Linked DNA regions of Diceros bicornis minor. The protein of the gene in region 2 purifies or fractionates together with the protein of the main gene of each other region. This does not show direct contact. Links are inferred from orthologs where the notes say so. Each region holds a gene or a part of one and is shown on either strand. Other genes may lie near its edges.

What was found. Proteins that work in one complex are often made in the same cells at the same time.
Region 1: the proteins of DNAJB6 (region 2) and MLF2 purify together in Homo sapiens (affinity purification with mass spectrometry; 3 studies listed by BioGRID and IntAct, with this or other methods). This does not show direct contact. The link is inferred for Diceros bicornis minor from reciprocal best matches to the Homo sapiens genes DNAJB6 and MLF2.

What each region holds. Positions count from the first base shown.
Region 1 is NC_080756.1:54,978,901-54,986,571, reverse strand, and holds the start of MLF2 (myeloid leukemia factor 2), read right to left. Parts: upstream 3,028-7,671; 5' UTR 2,938-3,027; coding exon of another isoform or gene 2,655-2,937; intron 2,310-2,654; 5' UTR 2,282-2,309; coding exon 2,232-2,281; intron 1,978-2,231; coding exon 1,851-1,977; intron 1,607-1,850; coding exon 1,571-1,606; intron 943-1,570; coding exon 889-942; intron 485-888; coding exon 356-484; intron 189-355; coding exon 29-188; intron 1-28. Other genes in the region: PTMS (parathymosin), read left to right, coding at 2,655-2,937, 3,028-3,218.
Region 2 is NC_080742.1:101,824,878-101,832,205, reverse strand, and holds the start of DNAJB6 (dnaJ homolog subfamily B member 6), read right to left. Parts: upstream 3,086-7,328; 5' UTR 3,067-3,085; intron 2,791-3,066; exon of another isoform or gene 2,775-2,790; intron 1-2,774. UniProt on the Homo sapiens protein: Has a stimulatory effect on the ATPase activity of HSP70 in a dose-dependent and time-dependent manner and hence acts as a co-chaperone of HSP70. Plays an indispensable role in the organization of KRT8/KRT18 filaments.

The DNA of each region.
Region 1 (7,671 bases), on a different chromosome or scaffold from region 2:
AAGGGTGATGAGCGGGAAGGAGGCTCACTCTCATCCAGGTTGATATAGTCCTGCCGCTCCTCCTGGTCCCCTGTGCGGTGGTTTCGCGAGCGCTGGAGGATGTGAGCTCGGTCTCGGATGTGATGCCCAATGGACATCTGCTCTAGTCCGCTGTCTGAGTCCCGAACAGTCCTCCGAGTCTCCCGGATCTGAGGTGAGGCAGAACACAGCACACTCAGCTGCCCCTTCCAAAGCCCTGGCTGTGCCAGCCCAGGACAGACAAACCACCCACAACCCAATCCTGAAAAACAAAGCCAGGGTTTCTGTGGGTGCTGTTCAACCCCACCTTCTCTGGCCTAGAAGCCCTTCCACTCACCCCGCCTGGTGCTGAGCGCATCTCTGATGTCTCTTGGTAGACCTTGGGGGCACCATCACCAGTATTGGAGTAGGAGATGACAGTGGAGGATGAAAAGGTCTGGCAGTTGCCTCCAGCCGTCATGTGTTCCTGGGGAGGAAAGGGTACAGCAGGACTGAATGGGGAGGGGTTCCCCTCTGGAGAAGGGACCCCACACTTCAGCTGCCTATTCTTGCCCGTATCTTTCTCACAAAATTTGAGAACTGAGAAAACATCAAGACTCATCATTACCCCCAAATACCTCTGAGTCCACAATAAACAAGAAGGATCTTAAGAGATTGAGCCTTAACTGCATACTTAATAAGAGTGCTGCTGCTGCTTCACTCAGGCACGAGAGCACATACAGGAACCCAGTGCTCTCTGGGTTCAATTCCTTTACCCCGCTTGAACCCTTCACTAGCACACTCTTTCCCTCTCCTGCCTCAGAGGACTCAAGGTGTTGCCGGCCAGAGCTGAGAGCAGGGCCTGGAAAAGGTATGGGGCAAGAGTCTCACCATGTTCCCAATCATGTCGTTCATCATCCCAAACATGTCCATGAAGCCACCTGACTAGAGAGAGAGATGGAGAACAGTCAGGAAAGCAAAGTCAGCGTTCAGCTTATCTTGTTCAGGGACCCACTAGCTACGTGGCTGCATATTCCCTTTCTCTTCTTCCTTTACATCTAGCAACTGCTCTTTCTCATTCTTGGAGAACATGACCAGAACACTGCATGCTTATCTGCATGTTTCTCTTCTCCATACTGCCGCCCTCCTCCTCAGTCTTTGCGGCTGCTCGGATCCAATTTCCCTTCTCCTGACTGCCCTATTTCCCCCTATCTTTAGGAAGCAAGCCAAAGTTAATGGATTCTAACCTATAAAGGCATGAAATTGTAAAAAAAAAAGACTTCTAAAAATCATCTCAAGTTGGCCCTTCAACTTCACCTCCCTCCTCAAAAGAACAAACTTTGCTAGACAATTACATTTTCCTAATGGATATGGTTCCTAGAAGTATAAGAGTCAATAAGTTAGCATCTTTAACTCACAGGTCTTAGCACCCAGCAGGCCCAGAGCTCTGTGAACACTATAAAAAGATTCTAGGGTTACCCACAAGGCTATTTCAGAGAGGCACATTTGGAAATAACATCTAAGGGTATAGAGTATGTCTGAGATGGAAAGATATGAGGAGATGAGGACTCACCATTCCCAGCATCCCAAAGGGGGAGACAGCCCCAGCCTACAGGAACAGGTAAGGAACAGGAATTAGAGACCTCATCCTATCTTATTACAGTCCCAAACCAAGCCCACGGCTTCAGCTGTCTTTCTGTCCTCCTCTCACAAAGCCCTTTTCCCAGACCCTTTCCCCACTTCTAGAAGATCATTCCACTTGCTAAGTTGGCTGCAGTACAAGACAAATCAAGCGCTTTATTAACCACCCTCCAGCCTGTCTTTGGGTCTCAGGCATATCGCAGCACCATTACCTGCATCCTGCGGCTGGTAGGCCTGGTCCCTGGCATGTTGCCATCTGTGATGCTGAGGAAGGGGCTATATCCAAAGCCACCTGACAACATGCGGTTCATATGCTGACGGTGAATAGCAAAGGGGTCCCTGTGGAGTGAGTATACAGTATGGATGGTAGAAGGACCAAGTAATCAACACCCCGCTCACCCCCAAAAAAGAAAACAGTAGTAGAGAAACAATGGCACAGATGTCTGTATCCTCTTTAAGTCCGGGCTGGAGCTGAGTATCCAGCCAGTTCCAATCAGGGCCAGCAATGGGAACCCAGATGTCTGTCTGAATTACTCAGAGCCCTGAAGTGGAGTGGGATGAGTGCTCTAGAGCATGAGGGGGGGAGTACTTACATCAGGAACATGGGATCCTCAGGCTCCACGTCCCTCATGAAGCGGAACATCCTGATTTTAGCTCCAGGGGGCTCCACACTGTAAAGATGTGAAGGCTCAAATACTTGGAGGCGGCCAGGCTTTTTGCACACCGGCTCAGAGTAGGGACTCTCAGAACACTGTCCCTTCCCTATACTGTAACTGACCCCCTAAACTCCAGTAAGACCCTTCTCCAGGTGTTCACCACCACCCTCTAGGGAGAGAAGAGCTCTTCAAATCCCTCTCTCAAGGAGGGCCATGGAAAATTTTTTCAAGCCTCTCAGTTTTCTGCCTCCCCACTCAGAGCCATCCTCTTCCCGAAGCCCTAGGCCAGAAGCATACTGCCCCTCCCCTGACGCCACTGCTCCGGATGCGAATCCCCAATGCTGGCCCTCCGCCCCATTAATGACCCCAACCACCCCGCCCCCTCCTTACACCAGCCGCTCCCAGGCCTCCCCCGGGCGGGCCTCACTATCCCCACCGCGCCTGCCGGCGGCTCCCCCGACCCCTGCCTTCGCCGGGCGCACAGGAGAGGCAGGCCTGACCCTCTCCCCTCCCGGCATCCCGGGCTCCCAGACCCTGCAGCCCTGCAGGCCCGCTCCCGTCCGGACCCGGCTGCCCGCTCTGCTCCAGGCTCACCGGTCCCCGATTCGGGCTCAGCGGCCCATCCGGCTGGTCTCGCCTCTCGGTGCACTGCAGGATCGGAGGGCTGCGGCCCGGTACGCCGGATTGGTCCTGTCGTGAGCTCCTCGGCCTCCCGCGCCGCCTCCTCCCACAGCTGCCACCTCCGTCCCCCCCCTCGGCCCACGGAGCCCGAAGCACGGCCAGGCCCGGACGGAAGTGACGTCACGATGGGACAGCCCCCCCCCCCGGGGGGGGCCGGGCCGCGGAGCTCCGCCTCCTGGTGGGCGTGGGGAGAAGGCGAGGGCGCGCTCCCGGGGCGCGGGGCCGCTGATCCGGGGCCGCGGGGTTCGCTGGAGACGAGGGGAGGGGAAGCCTCGTTAGTAACCTGGATTTGGGTTCTGTGGACAGGAAGAGGCTCCCTGTAAGGGTGTGGGGGAGGAGCAGAGGCGTGGACTCCTCGGGCGGGCCGGGGCGGGGGAGGAGGGAGGGCGGTGCGGCACGTTCCCTTGGGGGAAGGAAGAGGACCCGGGGCAGATTCCCATGGGGGAGGGGCGGGCTCCCTGTGGGCGAGGAAGTGGGGCGGATCCCTACGGGGAGCTTAAAGCAGATTTTCTACCGGAGAAGCGCTCAGCCCGGGGAGGAGGAAGGGCGGCAATTTTGCGGGGGAGGTGCATTCTAGGCAGGGCGGGGTCCTCGGAGTGACGTAGAGGAGGAGGTGACAGTTCTGCCCAGGTCTAGCTCTGGCTGCGAGAACTCGGGATAGGGCAAGGAGAATCCAGTGGGGGGGGGGGGGGGGTACTGGCCGCCAGATGGCGCTCTTCGGCCAGGCTGGAACTCTAGCCCCTTGGGAACTGGCTTGGGAGAGGCTCCTGGAACCCTCAGTTACCCTGCTGTGAAGGGTCGGCCAGGGGAAAGGCTCTAGTTCTGAAATCCTTTAGTTTAGTGCCAGTCTCCCCTTTATTTTCTCTAACTCCTGTGTCCTCAAGAGCTCCCAGTCCTGCGCTGATCTTACTTGCCTCTAGTCAGGTAGGTAGGTCAAGGGTCTGAAGTTTGAGAGAAGAAGAAAGGGTGGAGAGCTCCATTAACCCGTATCACCCAGGGGCGGAGGTGAAAACAGACCCAGGAGACCTGACTCCAAGGCCAAAGACTGATACTTTGACATACTAAATGTCTTGCATAAAATCTGGCCCAGCTGGAGAGAAGGGCCTTCCTCCTGGGTGTCAGGGGATTTGGACTAAGATGGACTTTAAACCAGACTCATCCAACCTTTAGCTCTCTCTGGTTCTTTACTCTGGCTGCTAGCCATATTTATGTTCTGTGGAGCCTTACAATGAGAAAGACTTGTTCCCAATACTTCCCTGGGGGAGAAGGAGGAGGGGGTCTCTGGTGACTCAGGTGGGAGCAGGGCTTCTCAGGTTTCTTTGGAGATAGGGGAACAGAGACAGATAATTTAGAAACTGGCAGACTGGCAAAGCCAAAGAAAGACAAAGAATAAAAGAAAATTTGTTTTTCATTGATATTTTTGGGGAAAAGACGCAGTAAAGTCTTTCTGATTTATCTTCCAGATGCTCTGTCTCTGGAGATCCCACCATGCAAGTGCCCCTTTTTCTCTTGCCCCAAACAAAAGCAGTTTGACATGTGATCAAGTTACGCCAGTGAGAGTTCTACAGCCCAGGCTTAACTGTTAAGTGGAAGCTCAAGTTCCAGCTTCTCTCTTCTCATTCCATCATGTCCATCCTTCAACAGAACTGGACATACAACTTAGCTTCTAGCCTCCTCCTTTTTTTCTTTTTCCATTAGCTGGTATCCTCTACCTACTGCCTTTAGGTGCCTAAAGCCCTTTCTCTTCTTTCTTCCAAAACTTAAGACTCTGATATCAGCCATTTTTACCTTTGCATGATTTTAAATCAATGTATTACCTCTCCTAGGAATATTTACAAATTACAACTTAGCTTTCTAACTCTGAGACAAAACTCCAAACCTGGGCTTTGTCTCAGGTTAAAAAGAAATCCTTGAACAGGTGGGAATGAAGGAGGAGATGCAAGAGCTCATTGTCAGAGTCCTCAAGGACTTACCATATAGGCGGCCATCTACTCCAGGAATTGAAGGGATGTAATCATTCTGTTCCCCCAGAACCAGAGTTTGTGTCTGTCTTCCTTCTCCATTGCCCTCCCTTGTCTTTCCTTCCTCCCACCTTCTCTTTCTCCTTCCTTCCTTCCTTTCATCTCTGTCCTTCCTTTCTCCCTCCCTGCCTTTCTCTTTTCCTCCTTCCTTCCTTCCTTCCTTCCTCCCTCCCTCCCTCCCTCCCTCCCTCCCATCTCTGTCCAATGAACTCTGATGAACAGAAATTCCTCAGTCACTGGAATGTCCTGTAGATGATAAGATGTAGGAGAGAGAGTGGGCCCTGCCAGGGCTGAAGCTTAACACAAGGAGGATAAAGATTGTTGGGAAGGAAGAGAAACAAAGTGGTTCCTATATTCACTGCTCTATCTGATGGAGCCAAAGTCAGGAAGTCCTTGAGAGAGCAGAGCTGGGCCAGAAAAGGGGCCCTCTTTGGATGGGAGGTCTGGAGCAGTCCCAGGGCAGTTGGATACTGGAACAGAGTGAGGATGGGGCAGTGATGTGGGAGTTAGAAGAGACTGGATTTCCTACCTGAGCCAAAGTGAATGGGTGTGACTGAGTGTATGTGTGTATGTATATGTGCATATGGATTGGGGGAGGAAGAAACACCCTGAAAATTAGCACGGAGGTGCCTCAGGTAGAATGAGTGGGTTGTACAGTGGACACCAGATCAGAGTGAGTAACTCAGGAGAATTTTTTAAAAATAAGCTTTTCAGTTTGTTTTTATATCCACATCAACTCAACAAATATTTATTGAATTAGTACTTACTATGTGTCGGGTACTGTTCCTGGCTCTGGAGATATAGTAATGATATAGACAAAAATAAAGCGAGGTAGAAGGGGGAAAGAGGAACAGGCAAGCAGCTAGGAGGTGGTAGTTGCTTTTTAGGGTGACTAGGGAAGGCCATACTGATAAGGTGACATTTAAACAGAGACCTTAACAAGGTGAGGGATAGCTGGGGTGAGAGCATTCTGGGCAGAGGTATAGCAAGTGCAAAGGTCCTGAGTCAGAACTATGCTTAGTGTGTTCAAGGGCCAACAGAGAAGCCAGTGTGCCTAGACTGATATGAATGACAGAAGAGCAGTAGTAGAAGACAAGGTCAGAGAAAGAAGGAAACCAGATCATGTGGGACTTTGTAAGACCTACAAAAGGATCACTCTGGCTGTTGTATGGAGAAGAGAGTATTGGGGACAACAGCAGAAACAGACCTATTAGCGTGCTGTTGCCATAATCCAGATGAGACATGACGGTGGCTTAGAGTAGGTTAGAAACAGTGGAGGTGATGAGAAGTGGTCAGATTCTAGGTATGGTCTGAAGATGGAGCTAACAGAATTTGTTGATGGATGGATGCAGTATCAGGGAGAAGAGTCAAGAATGACTCCAAGGTTTTTTTGACCTGGGCAACTGAATGAGAAATAAATGACCATTTGGCTTGCCACACTGTACTGAGTACATATAGGTACTGGTTTGAGAATATATTGAAACTGTGTCTGGCTGGAAGATCCTGACCACGTGGCTACACAGGATAACTGACCCAGACAGTCTTACCTTTAGAAGCTAGCCACCTAAAATAGGAGGAGATGTGAATAACAGGAATAATAAGTGAATTCCATACCTAGTTTTACCATAAGATATTAGATGTTAGTTAGACCATCCTGGGTAGATATGCTAATGTTAATGGTTGGCATTAGCATTGGAGTTTTAAGTTGGAAGAACTTCCTGTTGTCCTTTGATCATTTCAAGAAGACATCCTGAAGGAGGCAGGATGTCTCATGATTAACATGGACGTGCAGGATTGAAGTTTGTGCCACCTGTGCGGTAGTTCATGTCAATAAATATTTATTGAGCTCCTACTGTGCACTCGGCATAGTGCTAGGTGCTGGGGATGAAAAGACAAGTAAGACATGGTCTCTGCCCAAGAGGGTTCACAGCCTAGTGAGGGTGCCCAAATGGAATCCATTATAATCCTGTGATGAAGGCCACAATAGAAAGATGTATGTTAAAAGGGCAAAAGTGTTCAGAAGACGGAGTGAGTGATTTGGGGCGGGGGGGGGGGGGGGGGGGGAGGCAGAGCCGGAGAGCATTCCAGGCAGAAAATGGGATCAATACAAGGGCACAGAGGTATGCCCCATTTGGGAAGAACTATGAGGAGTGAAAAAAAAACTGCTGAAGTGGCCAGCCCAGTGGCGTAGTGGTTAAATTTACGTGCTCCGCTTCAGCGGCCTGGGGTTTGCAGCTTCATATCCTGGGTGCAGGCCATGCTGTGGTCATCCCACATACAAAATAGAGGAGGATGGGCACAGATGTTAGCTCAGGGCGAATCTTCCTCAGCAAAAAGAGGAAGATTGGCAACAGACCTTAGCTCAGGGCCAATCTTCCTCACTAAAAAAAACACAAAACACTGCTGAAGCAAAACTTTTGAGGGAACAGTGGTAAGAGATAAGGCTACAGAGGTTAAAAGGGAACAGACCTTGAAGGGCCCTCTTTGCTTCTGGACTTTATCCTATAGGCCTGAGGAGGCTATCAGAAGGTTTTATGTAGGGAAATTACAAGTGTCTCTTTGCATTTTAGGTAGAAAGGCAGTTTATGCATTTCAGGAAACATGTTTGAGCTTCTACAATGTACCAAGTAGGGAGGTAGGTGCTGAAGATACAAAAATTCTTAAATCATGATTGA
Region 2 (7,328 bases):
ACACCTTATAATAAATATATAATAAACCATCAGTCTTCCTAGCTGACTTATCCAGTGAGTCATTTTCTCCAATTACGCTTTAAAATTGTCTTTAGATTCCTATATTATCATTTCTATCACTATTCTGATTTTTATCAACTTGGCTTTTCTTCTCATTTACCTCCCTTTTTCCGAGTTTGAAGTTCTCTCAAATTCTATCCACCAAAGAGAAGCCACGCATTTGTGCCCCATCCCATCCCAATTCACTAGGAAGCCTGCAGTTACCAACCTTTCACAGCTAGGTGGTGTCCTGCACAAATTTAAACCAAACCAGATTTTTTTTTTTTTTTGTGAGGAAGATCAGCCCTGAGCTAACATCCATGCCAATCCTCCTCTTTTTGCTGAGGAAGACTGGCCCTGGGCTAACATCCATGCCCATCTTCCTCCACTTTATGTGGGACGCCACCACAGCATGGCCTGACAAGCGGTGCGTCGTGCGCGTCCAGGATGCGAACTAGCGAAGCGGACCGAGCAGCGGACCGAGCACACTTAACCGCTTGCGCCACAGGGCCGGCCCCCCAAACCAGATTTTTAACACACAACACCATCCGAAATTCTAGAATCATTTCCAAGAAACTGAAAACACACAAAAGAAAAAAAGGTTTTTAAAAATCTTGTTAAGGGCCGGCCCGTGGCTCAGCCGTTAAGTGCGCGCGCTCCGCTACTGGCAGCCCGGGTTCGGATCCGGGGCGCGCACCGACGCACCGCTTCTCTGGCCATGCTGAGGCCTCGTCCCACGTACAGCAACTAGAAGAATGTGCAACTATGACATACAACTATCTACTGGGGCTTTGGGGAGAAAAAGGAGGAGAATTGGCAATAGATGTTAGCTCAGAGCCGGTCTTCCTCAGCAAAAAGAGGAGGATTAGCATGGATGTTAGCTCAGGGCTGATCTTCCTCACCAAAAAAAAAAAAAAAAAACTTGTTAAAATATCAACTTACAGATATAAAGGCTGACTATATTCACGTACTCCTTACCAAGAGACATCAGAAGCCACGTGTAGCCACCCTTCAGCATTAACCAACAACGCAGCTGACCTTCACCACGCAGTCATGCCCACTGCACCCCAGTGGAAGGTAACGGGAAACACCACTAAGGTGACACAGTCAAGATTACACTGCAATTCTGAAGAGCTGAATTAAAAATAATTCACCAAGTTTTAAAGTGCCCTCTTTAAAAATGAAAAAATACACATAAACTTATCCCACCCCAAACTGGTTTTTGAGTTTGCTAGGTTGAAACCTGTCGATGGTGGCCATGAGTACACAGTTGTATTTGTTTGAAACTGTCCAAAATAGAGTTAATAGTTCTACTCTTGCTTCTACCCTTAAAAATAACGGGTTTGCTTAAAAAGGAAAACTACTGTATGCCACCCGGTCGCAGATATCATACTAGAATTCTCTAGCCGTCATTTAGTCTTCAGAGTATTAATCAAACAGTACTCCCCATCCAGCCCTCCAGATAAGCCTGTCCTGCAGCAAGAAATACCTCCCAAATCTTCCACTTTCAAATCCAGAAGAAAACAAATGTAAACACTGATATTTTGAAGAGGACGCTGAACTCATCTCAAATTCTTTAAAGGGTCTTAAATCCCCAACTTTCTCATCTTCTACAGCACCACACTAAGCACACTTAGGCATGTTTCAAAAGTCAGCTTCTCAACCCCTTTTGTTCTCCTCCCACTTCCCGTCAAGTCATCCACACCCACAAACTACGACACCCAGCCAATTTACTCCCCAAATTCATATTCTGCATAATCCAAAAAGTCCCACAGCTCCTTGGATAACGTGCACAAACAGCACTCACCTTTTTATTACAAATACAAAAGTCCTAACCCCATGGGAGCTGAAGTCTCTTACTGGAAACAAGAAAAGTCTGGATTAAACCTTCCCCGAAAGAACCTGGGGGCGGGGGGGACTGGGGAAGAGGCGGAGAGAAGACATAATTCCTTCAGATATCACTAAACCATTTTTGTTATGTGTAATTATTAAAAAGAATGACTAAACCTGAAGAATCAGCAAACAAGTCCAAATGGTAAGAGTTTCTCTTTCCTTTTTAACTTTCCTACTAAATCAATTAGTTGCCTTAAAAGATTCTAGCCATAATATCTTACTACGAATCCACAACTGAACTAAAAACGTTGAAAAATACCAGGAGCGCCGCTCAGCCCACTCTTCCTAGGGAGCCCCCGGGGGGCCGTCTCCACAGCGGGCACTTCCGTTCCGCAGCTCACGGGAGCAGGGCAGCACCGAAGTTCACGTCCCTGACCACAACCCGTCCCACCTGGGAAAACCTTTTTCCAGACGACACAAGGTTTGCAAAGTACGCTTCTTGCGTCCATTCTTTCCTTACTCGGGCAAAAGCTGATATAAACTTGACTTACATAAACCGCGTTACACGCTGAACTAAAACGAAGCAAACTGGCTTAAGTAGCGAGTTGAAAATCAGGCATTTTGCTAATCAACAAACTTCCGACAACTCAGCGGGGAGCTCTGGCAACCCGGCCCCACGCCCGCGTCCCCGTCTCCGTGTGGGGACGCCGCCTCCCCCGGCTCCTTCCTTCTGTAAACCCACCTCGCGCTGGCTTCAGGGTCAACTACGCGGGGCCTTCGAGAAAAAGCAAGCCTCTCCCGCTGCGGGCCTGCGCTGCCGAGCGAGACGGGCCGGCCTCGGCCCCGGGCGGACAGGGCAGGAGAGGCCCCCAGACCGCCGCCCGCACGGCCCCACCCCCAACCGCCGGCGCGGGGACGCGGCAAGTCTGGACCCCGGTCCCGAACCCCACCCCTGGCCCTCGGCATCGACCCTACACCCGTGCCCGGCCGCGACCCCGGCCTGACCCCCACGCCGATCCCCGGCCCCACCCCAGGCCCCGATCCCACCCCAGGCCCGCGGCCCGCGACCTCCGGCCTCCGCCTCCGGCCTGACCCCCACCCGACCCCCGGCCGGCGCGGCCCGGCGACCGCACGCGTTGCCAAGCCCGGGTCAGGTCCGCGGCCCGCCCCCTGCCCCGCGCGGGCGGCCCTCACCGAGGACGCGGGGCCGGCGGCGGGACGGCGCGGCGGGAAGGGGCCCGGTCTCCCTCGGCTCCGGCACGACGGCGCTGCTGACGGTGACGGCGGCACCTCGCGCTTTCCTTTCTCTCCTTTCTCCAACAACAAACAGGAAGTGCGTCACGCGGCGACATCCACTTCCGCCCCGTCCTGACGCCGCGCATGCGCCTCGCGCGCCCCGCCCCGCCTTCCCGAAGCTTCGGGCTGTTGGGCCGACGCGCGTGCCGACGCGGCTGGTTCCGTGGGAACTGTGCCCGCTGTGCACCCGGACGTGCCCCACGGGGAGGCGGGACTCGGGCGGGTAGGGGCGCGGTCCCGGGCTCACCCGAGGTCCGGGTGCCGCCTCCGTCCCCGGCTTCTCCGTCACCGAGGCCCCGACGACGGAACGCCGGAGCGTCAGGCAGTGCTGGTCGGATCGGAACCCGAGACCGGTTTTGGGGTTCGCGCGCTGTGGCCTCGTGCTGAGGGGTCCTGGCCCGCCGGGATCTCAGTGCTGACCCCGGGCGCCGTTGTCCCCGGGTGGTGGCCCCGCACGTGTCCCTGCGGGTCTGTCCTCTCCCCTCCCGGGTCCTGAGAATGAAGGTGCCCGCACACGCTGAGCGCCCCCGCCCCGGTGCTGTCCCCGGGCGCCGTTGTCCCCGGGTGGTGGCCCCGCACGTGTCCCTGCGGGTCTGTCCTCTCCCCTCCCGGGTCCTGAGAATGAAGGTGCCCGCGCACGCTGAGCGCCCCCGCCCCGGTGCTGTCCCCGGGTGGTGGCCCCGCACGTGTCCCTGCGGGTCTGTCCTCTCCCCTCCCGGGTCCTGAGAATGAAGGTGCCCGCGCACGCTGAGCGCCTCCGCCGTGGTGCTGTCCCCGGGCGCCCTCTCAGCCCTCCACCAAGGCCTCAGTTCTTGCTCCTCAGCCCTTGGGAGACTTGGGTAGAAGGAGGACACGTGTTAAACGCTGCTGCTGTATGGTAGCGGATTCATAACCTTCATTGTGGGCGTCTGGAAGGCTTAATAGCCATGGTTCTAGTTTTTCCTACTTCAGAACAAAGGATGGCTTTATATTGTGTATGTGCATTTCTTGTGTTTCTTAAACCCTCATTGTATTACTTAACAGCTTGTAGTTTTTAGCAGATGACCAATTAGCAACAGAAAAAAATAATTTTTTTAATCTGAGTCAATTCTCTCTTCTTTTTTGTAGTAGGTTATGTAAATGCCTGGTCAAAAGGAAGGAATAACACCATATTTGGTTTTACTATGGACATCTCATGATAAAACCTAAAATAATCTCAGCAGAGACTGGAATTTCCTTCAGGTGTATGCGAGTTTGGCGCTGTCACGTGTAACGGCATCTGCCAGCAGGTCGATGGGGTTTTATTTCCCTTCCAGTGTTGACAGTACTATCATGTGACTTTTCACATTTAAATAAGTCCCTACAGCAAGTGTGAGCTAATCTCAAAATGCCGACAGCGCAGAGACATGAATTTTAAATAGTAAGTGGTAGGCTAGCCACAAATAACTTTTTCTTTCTCCCTCCAAAAAAAAAAAAAAATTTATTACAGCATCTGTCAATGCAGTGAGCTGTATCATGAGAAAAACCAGCTAGTAGAAAACAAGGCGCCAGCCCTGATGGAATCCACGCGGTATTCTGGGAGAACAGGAATAAACACCCTGAAAGTTAGTTGAAGTGGCAATATTCAAGGAGCTCTTTGTGGAAGAACAGAAGATCTTTCAAGGGCCGGTGCGATGGCTTAGCGGTTAAGTGCACGCGCTCCGCTTCTGGCGGCCCCAGGTTCGGATCCCGGGCACGCACCAACACACCGCTTCTCAGGCCGTGCTGAGGCCGCGTCCCACATGCAGCAACTGGAGGGATGTGCAGCTATGACTTACAACTATCTGCTGGGGCTTTGGGGGAAAAAAATAAATAAATAAAATCTTTAAAAAAAAAAAAAAAAAGAAGATCTTTCAAGATAAGATTAAGGATTTATTCCAAAGTTAATGTTAGCCCAGATGGTGGTGGTGCTACTGGAAACTGTAGTTCAGAGGATGATCACTTCAAAATGGAACAGCAAGGATTTAAATTGGGGTGAAAGGCGTTTGCAGAGAATTAAAGAGGCAATGTGCCAGAGCACAAAGTCAGCCTAGGGAGAGTGAGTGCATCAGTTTGACGATAGCACAGGTTTTAAATCCTGACAATGGAAATAAAGATGGAGAAGTATTTGAGCCTGTGTGGAGGCCAAGGGCTTAACTCATCATCTGGTAGAAAGAGAAGCCAAGCACTGACAAATGTGTGACTTGCAGAATGGGTAGAAGAGTAGGGAGACTCCGTGACTTAGTTTTCTCATCTGTAAAATGGGGATGATAAGCTTGCTGGGAAGGTTAATTGTATGTGCTCACCTCAGTGCCTGGCAGTCAGAAATACTCAGTAAATAATGGCTCTTCTGTGTCACAGCCTCTTTGAAAAATTGATAAAAGGTACCAGCTTCTCCCCAGCAAAGTGTGCAAGTGATATGAGGGAATCTGTAGACACAGGCACACATGCACACACACACACCCTGCCAGGCCCATCCATGAGTCCAGGATCCTCAGGAGAAGCTCCTGAATGGCGAATTTTATTAAACTAAAGTTGACCTTTGATCCAAGGATAATGTTTGTAGAAATTTGCCCTAAGGCGATAAATGCAGGGACAAGAAAGAAAAAAAAGGTACATGTGAGGTTACTGACCACAACTTTACAGATAATCAGTTCCTCCTTACCAGGAAATACCATGCAGGCCGTAAAAATAATAATGTGATTATAATTACTGACATCAAATATATCCAAGACACATTATTGAGAGAGTGTAATGTGATCCCATATTTGTAAAACTATTCATTTATGTGTGTGTTTGTGTATGAGTGTATACATATGTGTATGTGAAATACACACGCACACACACACACACTGTATGGGAGGAAAATAATTTTCCCTCTGCCCTTCTGAGTTCTTGGCTGAGAATATCAATAATAAAAGACAGATAAAGGAGAAAAAGAAATACAAATTTATTAACACGTGTACCTCAGGTACACACGGCAGACACCCAGGAAAACTTGGTAACCTCCAGAAGACCACCCAAGCCACCGAAGTGAGGGGAGGCCAGTTAAGGGATGCTATCGGGATAAACACAGTAAACAAGGGTAAGGTTCTCATGCAGATTTCAGTCGTTGCTTTCCCCATTGATAAGAGTTTCTGGTGATTTAGAAGCATCCTCTTCTTCCTGGTAAGGAGAGTAAGACACCCTTACAAATGGAGATTTCCGTTAACAAAAGGGTAAACTACTCTGTTTTCAGAGCTTCTTCTGCACCTGCAGTTTCTCCAAAATAATTGGCTCAAAATAATCCTTATGCCAAAGAGGCATCTGCAACTTCAACATATACACACAGAAAAGTGGAAGAATATTCAGTCAATTGTTGGAGTTGCTTATGTCTAGATAGTGAGATTTCACGTAGTTCTTAGTTCTTTCTGATTTTTTGTATCGTTTGAACTTTTGTATTACATATACAATATATTTATTTTATAATTACTTTTCAAAACCAATAAAATCATTTTTGTAGAGTTGAAACCAGGAATGACAAAGTGTGTCCAGAACTCTGTAGCAGTGTGGTGTGAGGTGGTGAGAGGTTGAAATAAAGTTGTGGAATAAGCATGAGAAGGATATTTATGCGTTTATTGAACATGTATTGAACACCTACTGTATACCAGCACTATGCTGGGGTCTAGGCACAGGTCAGAGAAGACAGGACTCCTTCCCTGGAGGAGCTTAGAATCCAGTGAGGGAGAGGGCCCGTGGACTGTGGGTTGTCTGGAGCTGTATGGCCGTGCTCTGAGGACAGCAGGCCCCAGGCCCTGAGGAGGGACAGCTAAATCAGGATGGGGTGAGGAGGGGGTCAGAGAAAGCTTCCCAGAAGAGGCCAATCTTGAAAGAGTTTTGAAAGATAAGCCGGAGTTAATAGTTGAAGCCCTGCGTGGATGGAGAGAATTCCAGACAGAGGAAATGTTTCCGAGGGTGGCCAGGACCAAACAAAAAAAGATAAAGTGTACTATTTTTAAAACTAAAGCTGTTCCACGTTCTAGGAGTGGCAGCAGAGTTCTTATTTCAGAAGGAAAAATCTTTTTTTTTTGGTTATGCGAAGGTAAGGGCATCAGCAAGGTCCAGAAGAAAATGACTGAGATGGAAAGACTGTATGATGAGGTGAAGACTTCTTTGTGGAGAAA